4 linked regions of the Saccharomyces cerevisiae S288C genome follow. Changing the gene in region 2 together with the main gene of any one other region gives a genetic interaction. Each region holds a gene or a part of one and is shown on either strand. Other genes may lie near its edges.

Region 1 (4,923 bases), 240 kb from region 2:
GGTGTCCCTACTCAAAACCATTGATTTAACTACAGATAGATTAAAAGAGGTTATCATGGATGAAATAGGTGACAATGTTTCATCGCTATCCGTATCAGAAGAAAAGCTCAGTGGAATAATTTTAATACAGTTAAGCTTACAGGATTTGGGTACTTATCTACTGCACTTATACGGGTTAAGGGATGATGTGCTTTTATTAGATATTGTAGAAGAATCAGAATTGAAGAACAAACAACTCCCTGCAAAGAAGCCGGATATCAGTAAGTTTTCCGCACAGTTGGAGAATATTGAACAGTATTCATCAAATGGCAAGCTTCTTACATATTTTAGAAAACACGTGAAGGATACGTAAATATATTGCACTTAAAATATACATAGTATTAATAATCATTTTGCATTTTCCATGCTGATTTTTCACGCAGGTTTTGAGAAGCAACTATGAAATATTGAATTTCATTTACACCATCGCATTATATTAGTTCAAACTAAACCTTTTTTTTCTTGCGGACAGGCAAAATATTAATACCTGAGTTAGTTTTCATTCCATTGTGTGTTTTTACAAAGGTCTTTTCGTTACAAGAGGGCACTATTGCTAAGTTTGGGTTGATATTGTTAATAATAGCACCCACATTCTCAGAAGACCTTTGTGAAATCTGAGATGCAGTGCAAGATGAAATTGAACCTAAAGGTGCCTTCTCTGAAAGAGTTGGACTTATAGATGCAGCATTGTTCCTTAAGGCATTCATTTCTTTTGATTTGACAGTCTCTGTCACAGATATTTCCTCCGCTTTAACATTCAGTTTCATAGACTTTTGTGTATCTTGCCTTATATCCCGAATGACTTCTGGTTCCACCTCCATCGTTAACGGGATGACTTCCCTTCTTCTTTTCACAGCAATTTGCGTTGATATTCGAGGAGCTTTCTTGAATTTTTTTGGATTTGTGGGAACTTTGTTTTTCCATGAATTTCTCTCTTTAGTGGAGGTTTTAATCAAATACGGTTTTCGGAGCGGCTCAGCTACGATAGCAAACCGTGTCATTCCCTTTTGTGATTGATGATCGCTCAGCAGTACTATAATGGAACCACCGCATTGCTGCTCTCTCTTCTTTAGGCGTCTCTCCCTTATTTCCTCAACGGTTATTTTTTCTTCTTCTTCGTCAGAGGAGCTTGCGTAATCTGGAATAAAAGTTCGATCGATTCGAGTATATATCTTGGGCCAATCTTTGCCACTAACCAATTTCAACAATGAATCACTTGAGGCTGGCCTTCTAGCTAAATTGCGGCTTTTTTTTTTCATAGATTCAAATTTATGTAACATTGAATCAATCAGCTCTTTAGTTTGGTAACGTTTAGTCTCCATTTCATTCTCGTCAGTGGGGTCATTTATTTTAGTAACCTTCTGTAATGTTACTTCCCAATTCAACATACCCAGTCTGTCTGAAATTAATGAAAGCCTGTCTGCTTCATTTTCACCATTTACGATGTCCGATTGAATCATTCTATTTTCTTGCTTCAACATTTTCTTGTGGTAAGGCTGATACGTGCTATCAGGAAGCAAATCATCAGTTGGTTTTCTAATATTCTGGCTCAATTCATGATGTTCAATTTCTAGTGTCATCTTTGTAATTGTCTCTCTCTTTTTCTTGATCTCATCATCGACATTACTCATGAACGGCGACTTCATCACAGGTTTCTGACAACGCGTTTCGTCAACATGCTCATCTACAGTAAAGCAGGACTTAGATTTCCTTAGATGTCCAGCATTTGGGTTTATCCTGCTGACTAATCTTAACTTCCTTTTAGGGTTAATTTCGTATTCTTCTGTATCAAAATCGAATTTTTCAAATTCTCCATGACTATTTTTAATCTCAGACCTCAGCAATCTCTCAGAAGTATTATTTGCTTCTTCTATTGATTGAAAAATACCCATTGATGAACTCTCATATGCTTTTAATGCTGTAGAAATTTTCGGTTTTCCTTTTTAATCTTGCTACTTTTTGTTTTGAGATCGCTGAAATCAACTCGCGGGTTAGATTTTCTTATTTTTAAAAATGTAGAACGAACGATTATGGAAACAACAATAACCAAAAAGAAAGGGAAAACAGTACCGCTTCTACTAATCTGTTGGATACATTAGACAATAAGCTCTAGGAAGTATGGTATATCGTAACAGGTCAAAGAGCGTTTTATCTACACACAGCAAGAAGAGCGACGATAAGGCCCACTATAAATCACGTTCGAAAAAGAAATCAAAAAGCAGGAGCAAGAAGAGGTTAAGAATCTACTGGAGATACATATCTATTGTATGGATCTTATGGTTAGGATTAATATCTTATTATGAATCAGTGGTTGTGAAGAGAGCAATGAAGAAGTGCCAATGGTCGACTTGGGAGGATTGGCCTGAAGGCGCTGAAAGTCATAGGGTGGGTTTATTTGCAGACCCACAAATAATGGACGAATATTCATATCCTGGGAGGCCTCAAATAGTTAATTATTTTACAAGAGTGATTGTTGACCATTATCACAGGAGAAATTGGAAATATGTCCAGTATTACTTGGATCCTGATAGCAATTTTTTCCTAGGTGATCTATTTGATGGAGGGAGAAACTGGGATGATAAGCAATGGATTAAAGAGTACACACGATTCAACCAAATATTCCCCAAGAAGCCACTGAGAAGAACGGTCATGTCTTTACCAGGTAATCACGATATTGGTTTTGGAGACACAGTTGTTGAATCGAGTTTACAGAGATTTTCTAGTTACTTTGGAGAAACTTCCTCCTCATTAGACGCTGGAAATCATACCTTTGTACTTTTAGATACAATTTCGCTTTCTGATAAAACAAATCCGAATGTCTCGAGGGTTCCTAGACAGTTTTTGGATAATTTTGCAATGGGTTCACATCCGCTTCCTAGAATTCTTTTAACTCACGTTCCATTATGGAGGGATCCAGAACAGCAAACGTGCGGTCAGCTACGTGAATCCAAAGAACCTTTTCCTATTCAGAAAGGGCACCAGTACCAGACAGTTATAGAAAACGATATATCACAAGAAATTTTAACGAAAATTCAACCAGAAATATTATTTTCCGGGGATGATCATGACCATTGTCAGATATCACACTCATATCCGTTTCAGGGGAAAACTAAAAATGCTCAAGAAATTACAGTAAAGTCATGTGCAATGAACATGGGGATCAGTAGGCCTGCTATTCAATTGCTCTCCTTATATAATCCTTCAGATTTGACAATGGTAAATGCCGGCGGAGAGTATGCATCAAAAACTTACCAAACAGAGCTATGCTATATGCCAGATCCCTATAAGGCAATCAGAATGTACCTATGGGGATTATTATTCTCTGCTGCCTTTATCGCATACATGCATTTTTTCCCAAAATCTTTTAATAATCGCGTAGCAACCATAATGAACAGAGTATTTACACGACCTGATGGTAACACCTCAGATTTGCCATTACCTACAAGTATTTCCAAATCGAAATCCAAAAAATCATTGACACATAGTAAATACGCTGTGAATGATACGCGTTCGATCAAACAATTTCTAGTTAATGCAATTGTCCTTTTTGTTTCTGTGATGCCCATTTTTATTTATTTTTATACTGTAGTCTAGACAGAATTACTGCTATTCTCTTCCAGGATCAAAATGCTTTGAAGGGAAACGTCTGGCTATTTAATATATGCGAATACACCTTATATACAGACAATGAACAAGAGATATAAATTATACCGGGTGTGGTATTACTATGCTCACCAAACAGTTTGCATAACCTCTACTGGATTTGCATTATGTTTTGTGGTCCAAGCTAAAACTGCAGGACTGGGCGTAACACCAATTACTTCACTATACGGGGACAAAAAAGAACACCTAGGTAAGTTGTTGGTTCCTTTAGTTTTATATCAAATTTAGCAAGTCATGACGGCAAATTTCTTTGTAAGCTTTGTTTAAAAGATGGATACAAAAGGACGACTTTCCTTTCAATCTTTCGTTTTTGCTTTTTATTATTCCATAGCAATATAGTGATCATAGTAGTGTAATTTTTAGAGTTTAAAAAACACGAAAGTAGGATGAAGTACAAAAGATTAACGAAAATACTCCATTCTCTTAACAACTCATACGTATATGAAGATTAAATTAATATGGAAGATAAATTAGACAGATACTACACAAATGTGCTTTCAAATGCTGAAAAGGATAAACACACAACTGTCGATAGCGATGACAAAAGTAGTGGCGAGGAAAATTTAGATGAACTACTTAATGAATTGGATAGAGAATTAGACGAGGATCATGAATTTTTGAGTGCTTATCGGTCGGAGAGGCTACAACAAATATCAGATCATTTAAAACAGGTCAAGAAGAATGTTGAGGATGACGGATACGGTAGATTGCAGTGCATTGATAACGAGGCAGATGCTATCCAAATATGTACAAAGACTACTATGGTGGTCATACATTTTGAATTAGAAACATTCGGTAAGTGCCAGTATATGAATGAAAAACTGGAAAACTTGGCAAAGAGGTATCTAACCACGAGATTTATTAAAGTAAACGTCCAAACATGTCCATTTTTGGTTAATAAACTGAATATTAAAGTACTTCCGTTTGTAGTTGGATACAAGAATGGCCTAGAAAAAGTTCGCTACGTAGGATTTAGTAAACTGGGAAATGACCCTAATGGGTTTGATATTAGGAGGCTAGAGCAATCTTTAGCCCATTCAGGTGTTATAGAAGACACATTCGAAATAAGAAAGCATTCATCTGTGAATACGGAACGCTTCGCTTCTACAAATCATGATAGAAGTGAAAGTGATAGTGATTTAGATATATAACTAAATAACCATTACCTCCCTACTAAAAATGACTCGATGGTCTTTTAAGCCATACGCATGAGCGAAAATG
Region 2 (5,989 bases):
CAAGGATGAGAATTCGAAAGAAAATGAAATTGCTGTGGGTGGAAATAGAACAGAAGCCGAACTAAGGACATTATCTAAAGATAAATCGGTTTATTTAGACAATAAAATGGATTTGCAACTGGACCCGTTTGACGTGGATGAAAAAACTGAGGAGATATGTTCTATTTTACAGGGCGACAAAGATATCTCCAAATTAATGAACGACATCGTACCCCATAAAATCAGCTATAAAGATTTCTGGCACATCTATTTCTTACAAAGAAACAAAATTCTAGATAAAGAAAGTAAAAGGAAAGAAATATTGTCCAAAAAGGAAAAGGAAACGGAGGAAAAAGAAGTTGAGTGGGATGACGAAGAAGAAGAAGAAGATGATGACAAAGTAGAAGCAGTAGCTGACAACAAATCTAAAGGGGAGACGAAAGTTGCTGTGTCTCAAGAGGGATTGAAAGATGTTAGTGACCATGTTGGCCTCGCCAACAAGGATGAGAGCAAGGACGACGACGACGATGATGACTGGGAATGAGTGATTTTTTTCATATAAAAGATATATGTAATGCTATAAATATTTACATACTTTTCATGACGTATTATGGTAGAAAGGAAAATCATCAATCCAAGAGATGCACAGGAGGAAGACAAAATCTGGGCGTGATCTCATCTTTACACCTTCTAAAAAAAAGTTCGTTTGTTACCGTTAAAATAAATCATTTGTATTTAGGGTTTTTTACTTTGACCTTAGATGGAAATAATGATATGCCATGTTGAACGGGAAAAAAAGTGTATAGACAACGGTTTTCAGTTATTTATTCAAATGAATCAAACACCGTAGACGCGGTGATAAAACAAAACGTATGCATTAGAGTTAATTGCATCGGCTTTGTTTTTGACAGGTTTATATTTGGTATCATCAAAATATAGCCATCCCTTCTTTAATCCCTTTTTCACATAGGCTGTATAATGACCACCATACAAAGTACCAAAGTGGCATGCTACACCATATAATTCATACTTAAAAGGTGGTATTTGTCCCCTTATTGGTAGTTCATCGTCATTAACACCTGGAGGAAAAACCCCGTCAAAATCATTGGCCCAAAATGGAGTCAAGTCCAACAAAAAAGGGTATATGACGAAGTCATTATTTTTGTTTAATAAATTATCAAATCTCTTTAAATGGACTATCAGATTCCTCGGTAATCTCGTTATTGTCAATTGTTTCGTGGAGGGCTGCCTTTTTTCACAATGTGGGCACAACCATTGCTCATCCACTTCCAAGTTCTCACATTTGGTGAACTCTCTGAAACAATCTTCAATGGTAATATTATTTCGGGAATTTTTTTTAGGAATAGGGATTGACAGCACCGTAAAAGGTTGGTATGTTGTCGAGGTATGACTACAGACTTTACATTTTAGTCGTGAGGCGTATTGTCCCTGAAATAAGTCGACAATAACACTGAAATCAGTAGTCAAGAATCGTTCCCACTCAATTGACGAGGCAATTCGCAAAGACAGTTTTTCTCTTCTCGCCTCAGCTTCTTGAGAAAGCTCCTTCAAAGGTGGGTTTGAACCGCATTGGTTCAAGTCTTCATGAAGACCATCTAGAAGGAATTGGCAAAACTCTTGGCAGTCCTGTTGGGATGCAGTCTTAAATAATGAGTTAACAGATCCACATGCCAATTTAAATTTTATCGGTGATATGGAAATTTTCTTTGAACCATCAACCTGTTCCTTATACATCATATGAACCAACCTTGCAAAATATTTTGCCAGAATACCTTTCGATCCCAACTTACTATTAATATTGATGTGTTTAGCATATGAATCGTCCAAAAAGATTTGGGTTAATTCGTGTGTACCTAAGATACACTGAATGATACAGTTCATGTAACACGAATTTCCTAGATTTTCCAAACCAACCGCGAAATCAAGGTCATAATTATGAGAAGAAGTTGGTGTAACATCTGTATGATCTAAAGAGTCATTATTAGACAAGGATAGACACGAAGGTTGAATGGTAGAGGTGGCAGAACTGTGTCCATTGGAGTTCATATTAAGGTTCATACTAATTGTTTGCGGGAAGCGTTGTAACTTCGGTGTGGCAGTTCTTGATGGAGAAGTGATGGCCTTCGTGTTGATAGGAGCTATGTGAGCAAAAGAGTTGTGATTCAACTGTTCTCTTTGATTTGTCATAAAATCTGTCTCACTGTTTTTCCAAAGATGTGGCGTTTCCGGATAATTGATTGGCAATGAATTGCCCTTAACTGGGTCAGGCGAATGTAGAGGTAAAGGCGATGGTGAACTAGATATGGACAACGAAGATATAGAATATAAGTTTGAATTTGAATTCTTCGGATTAGGAGACGTATAATTTGAGAATAATTTTTTGAAACTTGAAGATCTTTTTAGCACATGATCATTGTCTGATTGCTGTTGTTGCTGTTGTTGAAGATGATTTAATGGAGTAGGCGCAACTAGCATTTCTTTCATAGAGTCGTCCATTGAATGTCTTATACTGGGAGACATCTTAGGTAAATGTTGTAAACTTAGGCCAGAAGTGTTACCATTAATATAAACACTATCATCTTTAATATTGTTATTTGATGGAAAAGATGATGATACTTGCCTCCCATAATTTGACTTAAGCCAACCTGGAAAACCAGATTCCAGAATGAAAATTTTGGTAAAGTCATCGGATATTGGTTTTTCAAAGGAATGATTCACCAGAATGTCCAACAGGACAGACTGCTGTTTAACATTGTATTCGTTTGCGTCTGTATAGAGAATGATAAACTTGAAAAGATTTCTACTTTGAAACATTTTAATCTCACTATTAGGAGAAGTAATTAATGATTTTTTCTCCAAATCATGATCTGAATATGACATTTTAAAAGAAATAGGCTCCAGGCATATAATATTTTTTGTATCAATATGTGACTTGTTGAATTCCAACCTTGATCGTATATCTATCAGTAGTATCTCCATTTGGGAGGAAGCAGAATTTGCTGATGAACTTATTAGGGAGTTTAATTGATTGGAAGTGATATAGGAACCCGTTCTCATCAGGTTACATTCTTCTTGCTCATGGTTCAATTTTGTTTGTTTTATGGAAGACTTAATGAAACTTTTTATTTTTGCAATGTTTTCATCTTTTAATAAGGTTTCCAGCAAAGTGTTGTAAATGTTCATGAGTTGAAATTCATTATTGTTGTTATTACCGTTGCCCTCATCACTCGTGCTCTTATGTAATTTAATCTTGGCGAATTCACTTAAATGAGGAATATTGGTTGTTACAATAATGTGAATTACCTTGTAGTAAACATAATTTAATTGAATAATCATTACGGAATTTGAACTAATCATTGCACCCTTATTTTTGCACGATATAATATTTTTGATATCTTTCGAGTTCTTCTTGTAAATAGATAAAATATCGATGCATTTATCTAGAAGACTGCTCAAATCTTGATCTTTTGCCTTACCAGTTATGATGAATTCGTTAATTTTAGCCTCTGCAATAGCGGTTAGTTGTGCTATCGTAAGGTACTTCGACCGGTGACGAATACACTCATCCCTTATGGTACTAATAATATTCTGCTCCATAACTTAAGCATGTATCAAATAGTAAAAAAAACTTTGGAAGCGTGCACACTCAGTCTTAAATCTGCCCTATACTACCGAAGATAAATACATGAACTACACGTATCATATAACATCATATCCTTTTTTTTTTTTTTTTTTTTTTTTCTAGGCTTTTACTAATACAAGGGCCTTAGCCATTCGCTAAACGTAATGAACGATATTGAAGCAAATGAAGTAAAACAATGTGGAAAGCAAATAAATAATGGTTATAGTTTTGCACTTATATAGATATCAATAAATGATATGATATGACTAAATACGATAGGACCAGGGGGGAAGGAATATAGATATGTGTATGACAGAAACTACATGCATATACGAGTTTGTACCAAGTGCTTCTTAATAAACACCGTCATCTGGCCTGTTTTGTTCGATTCTAGCGTCATCTCCCTTTTTTTTCAAATCTTCCATTCCAGGTTGCTTATAATCTGGATTCTTGCCGTGTTCCAAAGTGTCCAACCTCTTCTTGTTGCTATCAAACAAACCCTGTTCTTTTTTCTCAGCTTCATCTTGATTGTTCTTTAGGTGAGGAAAGGCGGCCCTAGTGACGATTGAGAAAGACGCCCTTGGCGATTTACGCATCAATTGTCTTGGAGTGCGCAAAAAAGTGGTTCTCAACATTATCAAATATATTCCTGTGTATTATATATGTGATACTGCGGTCTGGCTTCAACTGCTGTTGGAGTATTGTAGGAACAAGTATTCAAGGCCAAAAAAAACTAAGAGCCAACTCAAAGGCCATATCTACCTAATCAAATCTTGGGACCTTTATATACTTATGTGCTTTTACGGTTCCCTTAGATTCTGTACAGGAAGAAGGGGTTGATACAGGAACAAACCCTTTACAGTAAAGGTATCCTTAAAAAAAAAGGAAGGTAGTACGTATATCTCTCCAAGAACTGAAAAGAACCCAATCACCGGAATTAAGCAGTGATATCTCAGTACGGTCAAGGATGTAGGGTAGCACCAGTAGTAATGATTTTAATTATACTTGGCAATTTTAAAATATACAAAAATTATATGTAGTATTTATAATTAGACATTTGTAAAGTGCGTTAAACTAATGATCTAGTTGTCGTATTCTTCCTTAATTAGTTCTCTCTCCATATCGATCCATTTCTGTTCTGCGAAGTTTTTGTCCTTAGCAACATTGGTGTTCTCAGCAATGATCTTGAAACCAACTCTTTCATAAAATGGTATCAATGGCTCGTGAGCAATAAGGACAATTTTGTTACCAATTTCCTGATTACTCAATTTCTGAATGTAGTCAGTTAAAAGTAAAGTAGCCAGGTTTTTTTTCTGGTATTCTGGCTTGATTACTACAGAGTGAATACCAATATGATTACTCGATTCCACTTGTAATTTGCCCATGCTTTCGATAGTAATGTATTCATGAGGTATCTTAGTACCCATAATATGACCAATTAGTGTCTCCTTTTTAACTTCTTTGCCCTCGATCTCTCTGATGAAAAGACCTGAACATAGCTCTGGACAATTGATCAAACGAAAGCTGATAATTTCTTCTGAAGCTCTTTCGTTTGGTGGGAAACCTTGGCTTTCCAAGTTCAAAATCTGCTTTAAATCTTCAATGATTAAGGGTCTAATATACATATGAAGCGGTAGCGTGCTACTTGAGGAGGCCATTTTAACTTTTTATTTAATCGTAATGTATTGGTGTTATTTTTTCTCCGAGAAAAGTATTCTGATGTCCAATTCTTCTTAATCTAGTTTGTTGTAAATTTTTCTTACAAACACTTGCTCCCGCTTCTTGTCCAGTGGGATGTTCGTCGTTCTTCCATTGCTTTTCCATTTTTGCCCGTTCAAAACTATTCTTTTTATGAATTGACAGAAAACCAAAAGCAAGCCGATTTCAGGTTAACCCTTTATTAAAATAAAAAAAAAAAGCATGCATAACACTAATAATATATTATTAAAAAAAAAGCCAATCTATATTATTTAAATTATCCGAAATTACTTTTATTACATTATGACATTCTATAGTCTATGCAAGCGGATCAAAAAACCATTCCATCTTGGTGCCACAAAATACTCTCATGCCAAAAGTGCGAGCTTCGTTTCTTGTATCCACTTTGTCGCCTAACCTTATATGAATCCACTTTTTTAAAACTTTTGGTTGTAAAACAAACCAGTTTATGATGATGAAACTTGTCATTGCATATAAAACACCAACGAAAAGGTCAAATCTATAATGGTGGTCCAGATACATGGTAGCCCACCATTGTAGTATTATATATAGGATAGCCCAGAATTTTGGTATAAACCCATCGTTGACTATTTTAAAAATCCATTTGTTTGTGAAGTTCGTGTCTTCATCATATAAATGGACAAACTG
Region 3 (4,365 bases), on a different chromosome or scaffold from region 2:
TATAGTATAGTGGTAATATATAAGTTTCTTTCTCTTCCGGTTTATTTACAAGTCATATACAAATAAAAAAAAGTGATAGTAATTCAATGGCTTGTATTCATTGATACTTGGACAAGTCCGGCATACTTAAAATTTCCTTCTCTTTATTTTCACTGAATTCTTGTAGCTGCTTCAGCAATTTAGAATTGGCCCACTTGTCAGGCAAGGGGCTGGTTTTGAAATTTTTTGTGGCCCAATAGTATATGTCCCAGTCCAACTCATTCAATAGCGAATCGTATTCTTCCAGTTCCTCTTCGTTCATCTTCTTCAAATATTTGGCAGCGAACCCAGATAGCAGCAAGTCCGTCTCCAAGATCCCTCTTTTGCGTGATTGATATATCAACCGAGCTCTTTTCTTATCCAATGGCTCGTTAGTTCTCTTTATGGGGGCAATTTTAATCCTCGTCACCACATCGTCGTGGTCATCTTTATCACTACTAAACCACCTACGACCGCACGACCATGCAGCGGACCCTGTTTGAGAGTTGATAATCTTGTAGCCTTGCAACGACAGTGTCTTTGTGAGTGCTGGAAACATATTGTGCATTTATGTGCTCCTTTTTAAAGTGTACTCCCTTTTTTCCTCCTGTTCTTTTTTTACAAATTTCGCCTTTCTTATATATCCTAAATATACTTAAAATCTAGTCTCTTATGAAATCTGTAAGAAACAGCATAATGTCGCTCCTTCTCTTCTATTTCCTATATATATCTACATATCACCAAAGAACGTGAGAATGGGCAGGAAACATCTTGGTGATTCGTTCATTAACCGGCGGAACAATCTCTTGTATCATTGTAGTCTTTTTCACTACACACAGTTGTAACTGTGGGAAACAGTTTGCGCGTAAAAGTCCCAAGTTAATCAGTGTCACAAGTACGTTTTCGACGTTCTTGGGGGAGTGAATGCCATTATAAATGGTAATTTCCTGGGCGCCGGGATCCTCGAATGTCGGACCAATAGATAGCTGTAGTACCCGTTCTATCAAGGAGTACGGTAATTTGTTCTGACCCCATTCGGTGGTCCAGGACTTTATTACCGTTTTAATCAGATTTCTGTACGTTACCATGGGCAGTTTCTCTAGGAGCACGATCAGTAACTGTCTTGCACACAAATGACGCTCGTTTTGTCTCAGCCAGAGACTCACGCCTTGAATATTCCCATAACGTACGTGTTTGTAGAGAACACTCCAATTATCAATTGTTTCTTGGGAAAGGAACGGTCGCAACGGTCCCCATTTGACCATCTTTCCCAGTATCAGCCCTGTAGGGATCATGTAATTTAGTATTCTGGTGCCATTCCTAGTGATCGCTTGGTTCGTTAACGGCAAGTTCAATAAGGACTGGAAAGCTTCATTGAATTGAACGAAGGCATTATGTACTTGAGAGTTCAACAAGTAGTACCTTCCTAATAGATATCTGTATTCTATTTGCTGGTCGAGCTGGTATTCGTTGAAATGTGCAAGCATGCTTTTTGGCTGAAAGTTCTTAAAGATATTGGAACATAATTGCGGTGACTCGATCCTGAAGTAGATGTTATTTAGTTTATTGACCAGGTAGAGCAGTATTCGTTGTTTTCCAGGTATATTTGTAGAAGATGCGTTACCTCGTGGAGGTTTGATGCTGTTAAATAGTCTTGATAGGATGGACGATATATGTGATAGAAATTGGTGACTTCTCGTATGCAGTTGCAAGTGGAAAGAGTCTAGTTTCCCAGCGAGATTGATGATAAATTCTGTTTCTCTAGTTGCTACTGGTATCAACATTTCTATGTGAGGAGCATTGTCGTTGATGAGACAGTTGATTAAACATTGATAAAACTCAAAAATTAGATCCGAACTGGACCAGGCTGACCATGGGTCGACATCTCGGGCATAATTTAAAAAGGATGTACACATGATTTTGAATCTCGTATCATTGGGCATAGCCGGGTGTTGTTCTACAAACGTTTCTAGCTGTTTATCATCAAATCCGGTCAATTGCTTCTGTAAGATAGCAATTTCCCTACCATTTTGGGACAAGTTTAGCGTTAGGTGGGAAAAATTTCCATGTGCTAATTCATCTAGCAACTGGTTGGCCATGTCCATTGCTATCTATCCTTTTATCCCTGCCCTGTTTCTTACTTTGAATGCCATTGATGTGAAGATGGTTTTTTTTTTTTGGAAAAGTATAGAAGAGAAATTTGACGTATAAACTTAACTATTAAAGGGAGAGAAAGTCAACGACATAAAAAGCAAACACAATAGTCTACAAATAATGTCTATGGAGCCTCCTGTGGGGCTTACGGCTATGCCCGTCACCAAGCTAGCCATGATCACGACGCTTGTGGTTCCCTTAGTTGCCTCGATTGCAAGTTACAAACATATATTTCTATTGCAATATGATCCTTTTCTGCAGACCTACCATCAATACTACCGTCTGCTCATATTCCAGTTCTGCGCCATCAATGAATCCGATACAGTAATACTGGCGTTGATATGGTATCTGTTTAGGCATTTAGAACGGCTACTAGGATCCCACAAGTACTTGACCTTGATTGTTTTGTCATGGGCCTACACCACCTTAGGAATTTGGGGATTGAATCTGATCTGGAACGCATTTATTGGACAGTACAAGTGGCTTCAATGGAACAATTTTAGTACAGGTTCACTGCCCATTGTTTTAAGCTTAGTACATTTTTACAAAGAATACACCCCTCAGATTTACGAATGGAATATAAGATTACTAGGACCTCGAGGAGGAGCATCAAGTCACAATGATAACAAGCGAGAAGACAAGAGCGCCGTAGAGTGGAAAATCAACGATCAGTTTCTTTTAAATGGGTTAATTCTCCTGCTTATATTAAATCAGGGGTTTGCAGGAATACTATGCGGATTCATAAGCTGGATGTGTGGTATTTTCATCGATAAGGGCCTGTTACCGGGATTAGACCATTGGAGAATACCGTTTGTATCCTATTTCATCTCTCAAGGCCCACCCACGAGGGCTAACGTTGCTATAGCGGCCAATGCGGCCACGAATACAGCAGCAGCAAGAGCCACTGTAGAAGCAGCTACTGCTGCTACAGGAAATGGAAATACAGGCAACTCTGGGCCTACAAGCCTACCGCTTCGTGGTTCAAGCACCACCCCTACAAATACCTCTAGCGCTGGTGATGACGAGCCTGGTGCCGATGAACCTGCAAGACCACTGGGAGTCCAATTTTTGGATACCTTTAGGAGATGATTTATATCAGCATATACCTACATAAACAAATAAACATAGCAACGGTTTAGCAACATCGTTTACAGCCATGTGAGGCAGTTACTTCTATCATATGTCTGGCTTTAGTATTGTTGGGTTGACACTTATACGAAATATCAGAAAGTGAAAAAAAAAAAAGGAAGGATCTAGTGATGAGATAAACGAATTTGTGATGTAAATGCAGAAGTAGGCACAAGTGCTTGGCAGTTTTCAAACGATCATCGTATTTTAAGCTACAATCACCAACGCCAAACATCCACTTGCAGCCACTATGTCACAGCAGGAGAATGGTGATGTGGCCACTGAATTAATCGAAAATAGACTTTCCTTCTCAAGAATCCCTAGAATAAGCCTTCATGTAAGGGATTTGTCAATCGTTGCATCCAAAACAAATACGACGCTAGTTAATACGTTTTCCATGGACCTGCCCAGTGGGTCGGTCATGGCAGTTATGGGTGGTTCGGGGTCAGGGAAGACTACGTTGCTGAATGTTCTGGCATCCAAGATCAGTGGTGGGTTAACTCATAATGGTTCTATACGGTACGTATTGGAAGATACAGGTTCAGAACCCAATGAAACAGAGCCTAAGAGGGCTCACTTGGATGGCCAAGACCATCCCATCCAGAAACACGTAATAATGGCGTACCTACCTCAACAAGATGTACTCTCTCCTAGGTTGACTTGTAGAGAAACTCTTAAGTTTGCAGCTGATTTGAAACTAAACTCTTCTGAGCGAACCAAGAAATTAATGGTCGAGCAATTAATTGAAGAATTAGGGCTCAAGGATTGTGCCGATACTCTTGTGGGGGACAACTCGCACAGGGGTCTTTCTGGTGGTGAAAAGAGAAGACTAAGTATTGGTACTCAAATGATTTCAAACCCTTCCATCATGTTCTTAGATGAGCCTACCACTGGACTGGATGCATATTCTGCCTTCTTGGTTATTAAAACTTTGAAAAAATTAGCTAAAGAAGATGGCAGGACTTTTATCATGTCAATTCATCAGCCGAGATCGGATATATTGTTTTTATTGGACCAGGTTTGTATTTTGTCAAAGGGAAATGTGGTATATTGTGACAAAATGGA
Region 4 (6,099 bases), on a different chromosome or scaffold from region 2:
TCACCACAGTTATACCAGGGTTTAAATAGGCTTGTTCGTTCCGTGGCTGTACCAAAGAATAAAAAAGAGCTATTGGATGCACAATCTGATAGGGAATTTCAAAAGGTAAAGGATATTCCCTTGACATTTAAAGTATGGAAACCCCATTCTAATTTCAAGAAAAGAGACCCCGGTCTTCCTGATTTCCAAGTTTTCGTTTACAATAAAAATGACGATCTTCAGCATTTTCCTACCTATAAAGAGCTGCGATCTATGTTTTCCTCACTTGATTATAAATTCGAATTTTTAAGCGAAATCGAGGATGATGACGATTGGGAGACAAACTCCTACGTTGAAGATATCCCACGAAAGGAATATATTCATAAGAGGAGCGCGAAATCTCAAACTGAAAAAAGTGAGTCGTCTATGAAAGCAAGTTTTCAAAAAAAAACTGCACAGTCTAGCACGAAAAAGAAGAGAAAGGCGTACCCACCTCACATACAGCAAAATCGTAGATTGAAGACGGGATATCGGAGCTTTATTATCGCTATTATGGATAATGGCCTTATTTCGTTTGTAAAAATGTCCGAGGCTGATTTTGGATCTGAAAGTGTATGGTATACACCTAATACTCAAAAGAAAGTAGATCAAAGATGGAAGAAGCATTAAAGGGACTTTTGCTAAATCGCAGTTTCTTTATCCTTGCAAAACTGGCTTTCAACAAATCCGGTATATATATAATTATCATATTAGTTGAAAAAAAAAAGCTACAATAAAATTAAGAAATAAGAAATGCACCTAACTGCTGTATTTGGAGTACATATTTTCATCAAAAACAGAGGGTCTATTGTAAAAGGACGTAGGATTCTCTTGCAGTTCACGTTCTTCGTTTTCAACTGCTTTACGTCTTCTCAAGTCGTACATATCCTCTTGCGATTGTTTCGGTGGTACTGGTGGGGCTGCCATAGTAGGCGTTGCAGCATATGGCGAAGCTTCATAAGTTCTTGGTGGAATACCGGGTCCTTGAGGTAAATCACTGCCGGCACTTATTTTGAGATTTTGAAATTGGTCCCCTAAATTGAGCCCTTGTCTAGATAATGACTGAAAGGCTGCACTTTTTTGGGGCAGTAATGGAGGACCCCCAACGACAGACGCTTTAGAATCAAGTGGAGGGAGGGGAGGAGCGGGAGAATTAGCTGTTGAATCCTCGGTCTGCTTTGCAACTCTCACTCTTTCTGCTAAGTCTCTACTCATATTGAATAATGAATCATAGAACTCTATTCCTTTTGGCAAGTCGGATGCAAAAATACTGAATGATTTCACTGCTTCTTGCAGCTTATCAAAAAAATTCTTACGATCTTCTAAAAATTTTTCTTCCCCAGAAGATTTATCCTTGAAATTTGAAAGGTGAAAAATTTCATCTAGCTTGGCTTTGATGTCATCTATCATTGAAGATTGTTTGTAAATTGTCGCCTCTATTCTTGTGCTCAAAGGCTCGAATTTCTCCAGTTCCACCTCGAATAAATCTTTGAGCTCAACATCGGATTTCCCCTTATTAATAATTAATAATTTTGTGATATCATCGTTGTTGATTTCGTCTCTTAGTTCAGACAAATTTCTCGAACGTTCCTCTTTCAATGTTCTTAAGTCTTCCGCATGGCCCTTTACTTGTTTTAACAACTCTAATATCTTGTCGTTTTTGGTATCATCGATATCCAATAGGCTAGGTTGTGGAGGCGTATTGCGATTAAATTCGTCAAACTTCTTCCATATTTTTCCATTGTCATTCAATAGATTGATCTCGACAATATGTGGTTTTACGCATGCGAACAATTTTTCGTCTGAGTTTGAAGCAGCTACTAAAGAAGATTTTAGTTTTGTAACATTTTCTTTTTGATCATTGGGTAAGGCAGAAAGGATTTCTAAAATTTGTTTCCTTTTGAAAACAATTTTGTTCATCTGTTCTTCTATATCCCTAAATTCATTTGTTTGGATAAATTTACACCATGTCTGAATTTGGTCCCTCATCAATTGTCCCTGTGTATCCGTATTCGAGAAAATATTTCCGTCACTAAATTGTTTTTCCAAATCACTCAAGAGCCTGGGTAGATTTGTAAATTCGATGAAGGAAGAATATTCCAAATTTGCTGTCTCAGTTTCTTCAACTTGCTTTCTCAACAGCGTCGCTTTTTCTTCTGAGTAAATACTTTCCTTTTCATAGACATCTAGGGGAATAATTCCTCTGTACAAAGAGTCACATTTATTTGCAACATCTTGCATATATGGTTCTAATATCTTCTCCCATGTTGGAGATTTTATTGCATCGAGCGCCTTAATGGAATCAACCTGCACAACGGCTGGAACGCTTTCATGATATATAAAATCGTTATCTTTAATCAACTCCTTTTGTTTCTTTTCTAAAGTTTCTTTAAACCCATCAAAGTCTATAAATTCCACTAACCACGTTTTGAATGGAAGGGATGAAATCAATTGTTGCATAGAAAAATCGAGAAAAGCAATTGCTTCGCCAACTCTATTTTCTTCTTCAAGGTGTAAACCGTGATAATAAGCGCTTAACGATTTGTAGAAATGCAGTTTGCAAGTAACTGTCGTTTTCCATTTGGGTTCACCATAAATGGCCACATCGTCATCTATTTCTTTCATAAAATCGTGACATTTCTGAAAGAGGTTACACGTGGCTCTAGAAAGTTTACTGATTAATGTATATTGCTTGGATGATATTTGATCATTTAATAATTTCAAGACAAACAATTCTTGAGCTTCTGCATGGCAAATATTAGCCAGAAACCTAGTGTTTTCTGACTGAAGATCGACTGAAGGTGAGTTCAAAAAATTTTCTGATAGATATTCAAAACAGGAAAAAGCTTTTGTCAAATTTGCGATTGAGTTTTTGTAGTCCTCATTGATATTCTCCCTCGCAATTTGGGTAAAGATTACAGCAATGTTGAACAAAGTACAAGACTTTTCAAATGCTAACGTATGTTGCGTGTATTTCAATCCTTTCTGGGCCGATGAGTATTCTGCGTCATACCAAGTGAAATCCATTTTTAATCTTGATCCTTTGCTACCCAGGCGAAAATAAAGATGCTCCAAAAATGAGTAATATTTTAGATTTTGTTCCGACAATGAAGAAGGTGCTAGTTCTCCATTTGCATTATTCCTTAAGTGATCCAGTTCTGAAGTAGCTTTCTCATCATAAAATGTTCTCCATTGTGAGGAGCCGTATGATTTCTTGAGATATGAGGAGAGGCCTTTTTTCCAATCCAGCTTCTCTGTGTCTTTTAGCTTTAGGTCAAATAAGTAAGGTTTCATGAGTAGAACCAGTGAGTAATGAACCTAGTAATGCTCCAGTCAGCCGCTTTCTGATTCAAGATTTTTCCACGACAACCCCCTTAGTACTTCTTCGAATTGTAACTGAAGCCTTGCTTGCTTTCTGTTTCTCGGTGATCCTAACCCGGAACCGGCGTCCTGCATTAATCGAAGCAAGAAAATGAGGTATGATAGAATAATATTAGTATAAGCAAAGTTTCAGATCGCATTCATCTGATTTCTTACTGACAACGATGCATAACCTAAATACGGATTCCTGTAATCATTGTTTTAATAAAATTTACTACGGTTTTTATAAGTATATAATATACATCAAGAAAAGGGAAGGCATAAGGGTACCATGAAAGAAAAACGTATTACTATAATTATTGTATGTTATCCATTACATTAACATAGCCTCTCGCTGTTTTCTTCTTCCTTCTCGTACTTGCTGGTTTGGGTCCTCCTGCCAAACTCAATAAATCATCCAAACCGTTTGCCTTTTTGCTAGTCAAGTTTACGCCAGAAATCCTTGATATGGGAGAGGATGGTGATGGAGAATTGTTTGGATTGGGTCCTGTAGGAGAAGGGGATGTTTTGATCGGCAAAGGCTCACCAGTGATTGGATTGTTCGGAATAACTGATGTGGCATGTACTGGAGGTAGGGAATTATTGATGGGGCCTGAACGTGGCTTTGTCTTTGGGCCGCCATCTTTACGTTTCACGATTGGAGGAGGTGGTGGTGCCGAACTTTCAATAATTTTTTGTTTTTCCTCTTCGGTTGCGTCCTTATTCACCCAACGTTTCAATTTTTCATCATAGTATAGTGTGTTTTTATGACCTAGCTTGGCCTTATACACTTTTTTGTCGCCAGTATCTTTCTTCAACCAACCAAACCAACCATTAGACTTGTCATCTATGTCCTTGTTACTTGGTTTTGTTTCCTTTTTCATATTCACATTCTTTTTTTCTTCCTTTCTGTTCTTTGCCTCATCAGTAGACATATTGTCGTCATCGGATTCATCTTCAATAACGTCATTGTATTTATCCGCATCTGATTCCAACGGTTTAAAAGCCCTGTATTGGTTAGTTGAAGCCTTCCTAATAGTAGGTTGAAAAGTGTCTTTCTCGACGACTTCGGCTTTCTTTATTGGGCTGAATCTATTTTCTGAAGCAACATTTCCATTACTTTGTGCCTGGGATGTTGATTCAGATAATTCGAATGAAGCAGTTTCATTTGCTTGGTTGACCAAAGGAAAGTATTGTGATGGATTGGATGCATGTGCTTGGTGAGTTCTTGCATATATAGCAGGCGATGTTTTCAGAATCGTTGATTCATCGCCATCTGCACTAGCGGCAGTTGATTGAGGCACGTATGGTGAGTAGTTCATTTTGGTTGCGTCAGTACTTTTTGGCTTTGGTGGTGCCATATGTTGCTCCACAAGTTTGGATGCTTTATTATTAACATTTCTTGGAACATCTTGCACTTGAGAAATTGGTTTAGCTTCCATTGAAATACTTCCTGCTGGCAAGTATGTGGATTGAACTGTCTCTGAGATACTGTTTTCATCCTGAGTTAGCGGTCTGTTTTCGAGTGACAATCCACCAGTTGATGGTAAATATGCTGATGATGCTGATTTTGAAATGTTTTCTGGCTGCTCCTCGCTACTTCTTTCATTTTCAATGGAGGGAAGTGAATTTTCCATTTTCGATGCATCAGTACCCCGGACCTCCACGTTAGTTTGAAGAATCGGTTGGATATCGTCACTAATAGTTTGTATAGGATTTACTGTAGACGTAGGCTGGTGGTTGGGCTCCATAGGAAGAAGATTCTTCACATCGTTGAAGCCAGGTCCTTCAATATCCATTGTTTCATCTGTAACATCTGCAGAGTCTTTTAATGTATTTTGATCAGCATTGCTATTATCATGTGATGTGTGAGATTCATCTTCAGGCATACTTTTTTGAGAATGTTTGTTACCAAAATCATTGTATCCCGTCTCATGAACTTGCGGGACGACAGGGTCGATAGGCAAAGCTTCCACACTTGGTGAGTACATAAGCGATCCCTGCGAGGAATTAGCTTTAGTAGGTACCCCAATTTTGGGAGGAGGAAGAAATTCTGATCCGGTAGATATGATAGACTCCCTTCTTACTAAGTCAGGACTAGACACATAATTAGACGGCACTGTTCCAAGTTTGGGTGGAGCAGGGAAGTCGGCAAATAAAGATGGCACATTCGAATTAGACTTTTCCATTGGAACGCTATGGTTCTGTCCAAATTGTGGAGTGTAGGCCGTAGACTTTTTCTCTAAAATCTGCTGACTCTTCAAAGCCTTTTCGTTTGTATGCTGGTCTGTTCTAACTCTTCTCAAAGAAGCCATTTGAGGCTCAGCAGCAGCGAACTGTGTATTATGAATGCGCTGAGGAGATCCCTGCAAACTATCACCGATCCTATGCGTATACGGTAAGTTTGCTTCAACTAACCCCTTTGACACATTGGAAGGCTTTGAATGCAGCACACTATGGCTTGGTACATTATGGGCATTATGCAAAAGAGCTGTAGTATCCACATAGCTTTGCGAAGTAACTTGAGCTTGGAAAGGTGTGAATGTTTGGGTGAGATCCACAGTTGACGAATTGGCAGAAGATCCCGGTGTGAACCCATCAAAAACTTTCTTTTTATCATTTTTTTTATTCAATGCATCAATATCATCGCCACCAATATATTTATTGAAGGATTTATCTAATTGACCCCATACGCTGCTTAGTTTTGGTTTTGCAAGCCAT

The links.
Region 1: of DOA4 (region 2) and CDC1, a mutation in one rescues a mutant of the other (synthetic rescue), as found in Saccharomyces cerevisiae (one study listed by BioGRID).
Region 3: mutations in DOA4 (region 2) and DSC2 are lethal when combined (synthetic lethality), as found in Saccharomyces cerevisiae (2 studies listed by BioGRID, with this or other methods).
Region 4: of DOA4 (region 2) and BRO1, changing one suppresses a phenotype caused by changing the other (phenotypic suppression), as found in Saccharomyces cerevisiae (2 studies listed by BioGRID).

What each region holds. Positions count from the first base shown.
Region 1 is NC_001136.10:825,425-830,347, forward strand, and holds CDC1 (putative lipid phosphatase CDC1), read left to right. Parts: upstream 1-2,157; coding exon 2,158-3,633; downstream 3,634-4,923. Other genes in the region: cohesin-loading factor complex subunit SCC2, read left to right, coding at 1-352; SAS4 (Sas4p), read right to left, coding at 486-1,931; YDR182W-A (uncharacterized protein), read left to right, coding at 3,727-3,930; PLP1 (Plp1p), read left to right, coding at 4,161-4,853. UniProt on the Saccharomyces cerevisiae protein: Probable metallophosphoesterase which may participate in recombinational repair of double -strand breaks.
Region 2 is NC_001136.10:584,123-590,111, forward strand, and holds DOA4 (ubiquitin-specific protease DOA4), read right to left. Parts: upstream 3,598-5,989; coding exon 817-3,597; downstream 1-816. Other genes in the region: DOS2 (Dos2p), read left to right, coding at 1-523; FMP16 (Fmp16p), read right to left, coding at 3,976-4,257; PAA1 (polyamine acetyltransferase), read right to left, coding at 4,705-5,280; IPT1 (inositolphosphotransferase), read right to left, coding at 5,639-5,989. UniProt on the Saccharomyces cerevisiae protein: Ubiquitin thioesterase that acts at the late endosome/prevacuolar compartment to recover ubiquitin from ubiquitinated membrane proteins en route to the vacuole. Also removes ubiquitin from soluble proteins targeted to proteasomes.
Region 3 is NC_001147.6:192,728-197,092, reverse strand, and holds DSC2 (Dsc2p), read left to right. Parts: upstream 1-2,292; coding exon 2,293-3,261; downstream 3,262-4,365. Other genes in the region: succinate dehydrogenase assembly factor SDH5, read right to left, coding at 98-586; THP1 (Thp1p), read right to left, coding at 756-2,123; YOL075C (uncharacterized protein), read left to right, coding at 3,551-4,365.
Region 4 is NC_001148.4:391,251-397,349, reverse strand, and holds BRO1 (Bro1p), read right to left. Parts: upstream 3,313-6,099; coding exon 778-3,312; downstream 1-777. Other genes in the region: tRNA splicing endonuclease subunit SEN54, read left to right, coding at 1-648; COPII coat assembly protein SEC16, read right to left, coding at 3,696-6,099. UniProt on the Saccharomyces cerevisiae protein: Class E VPS protein involved in concentration and sorting of cargo proteins of the multivesicular body (MVB) for incorporation into intralumenal vesicles. Fusion between endosomes and the vacuole will then target the cargo proteins to the vacuolar lumen.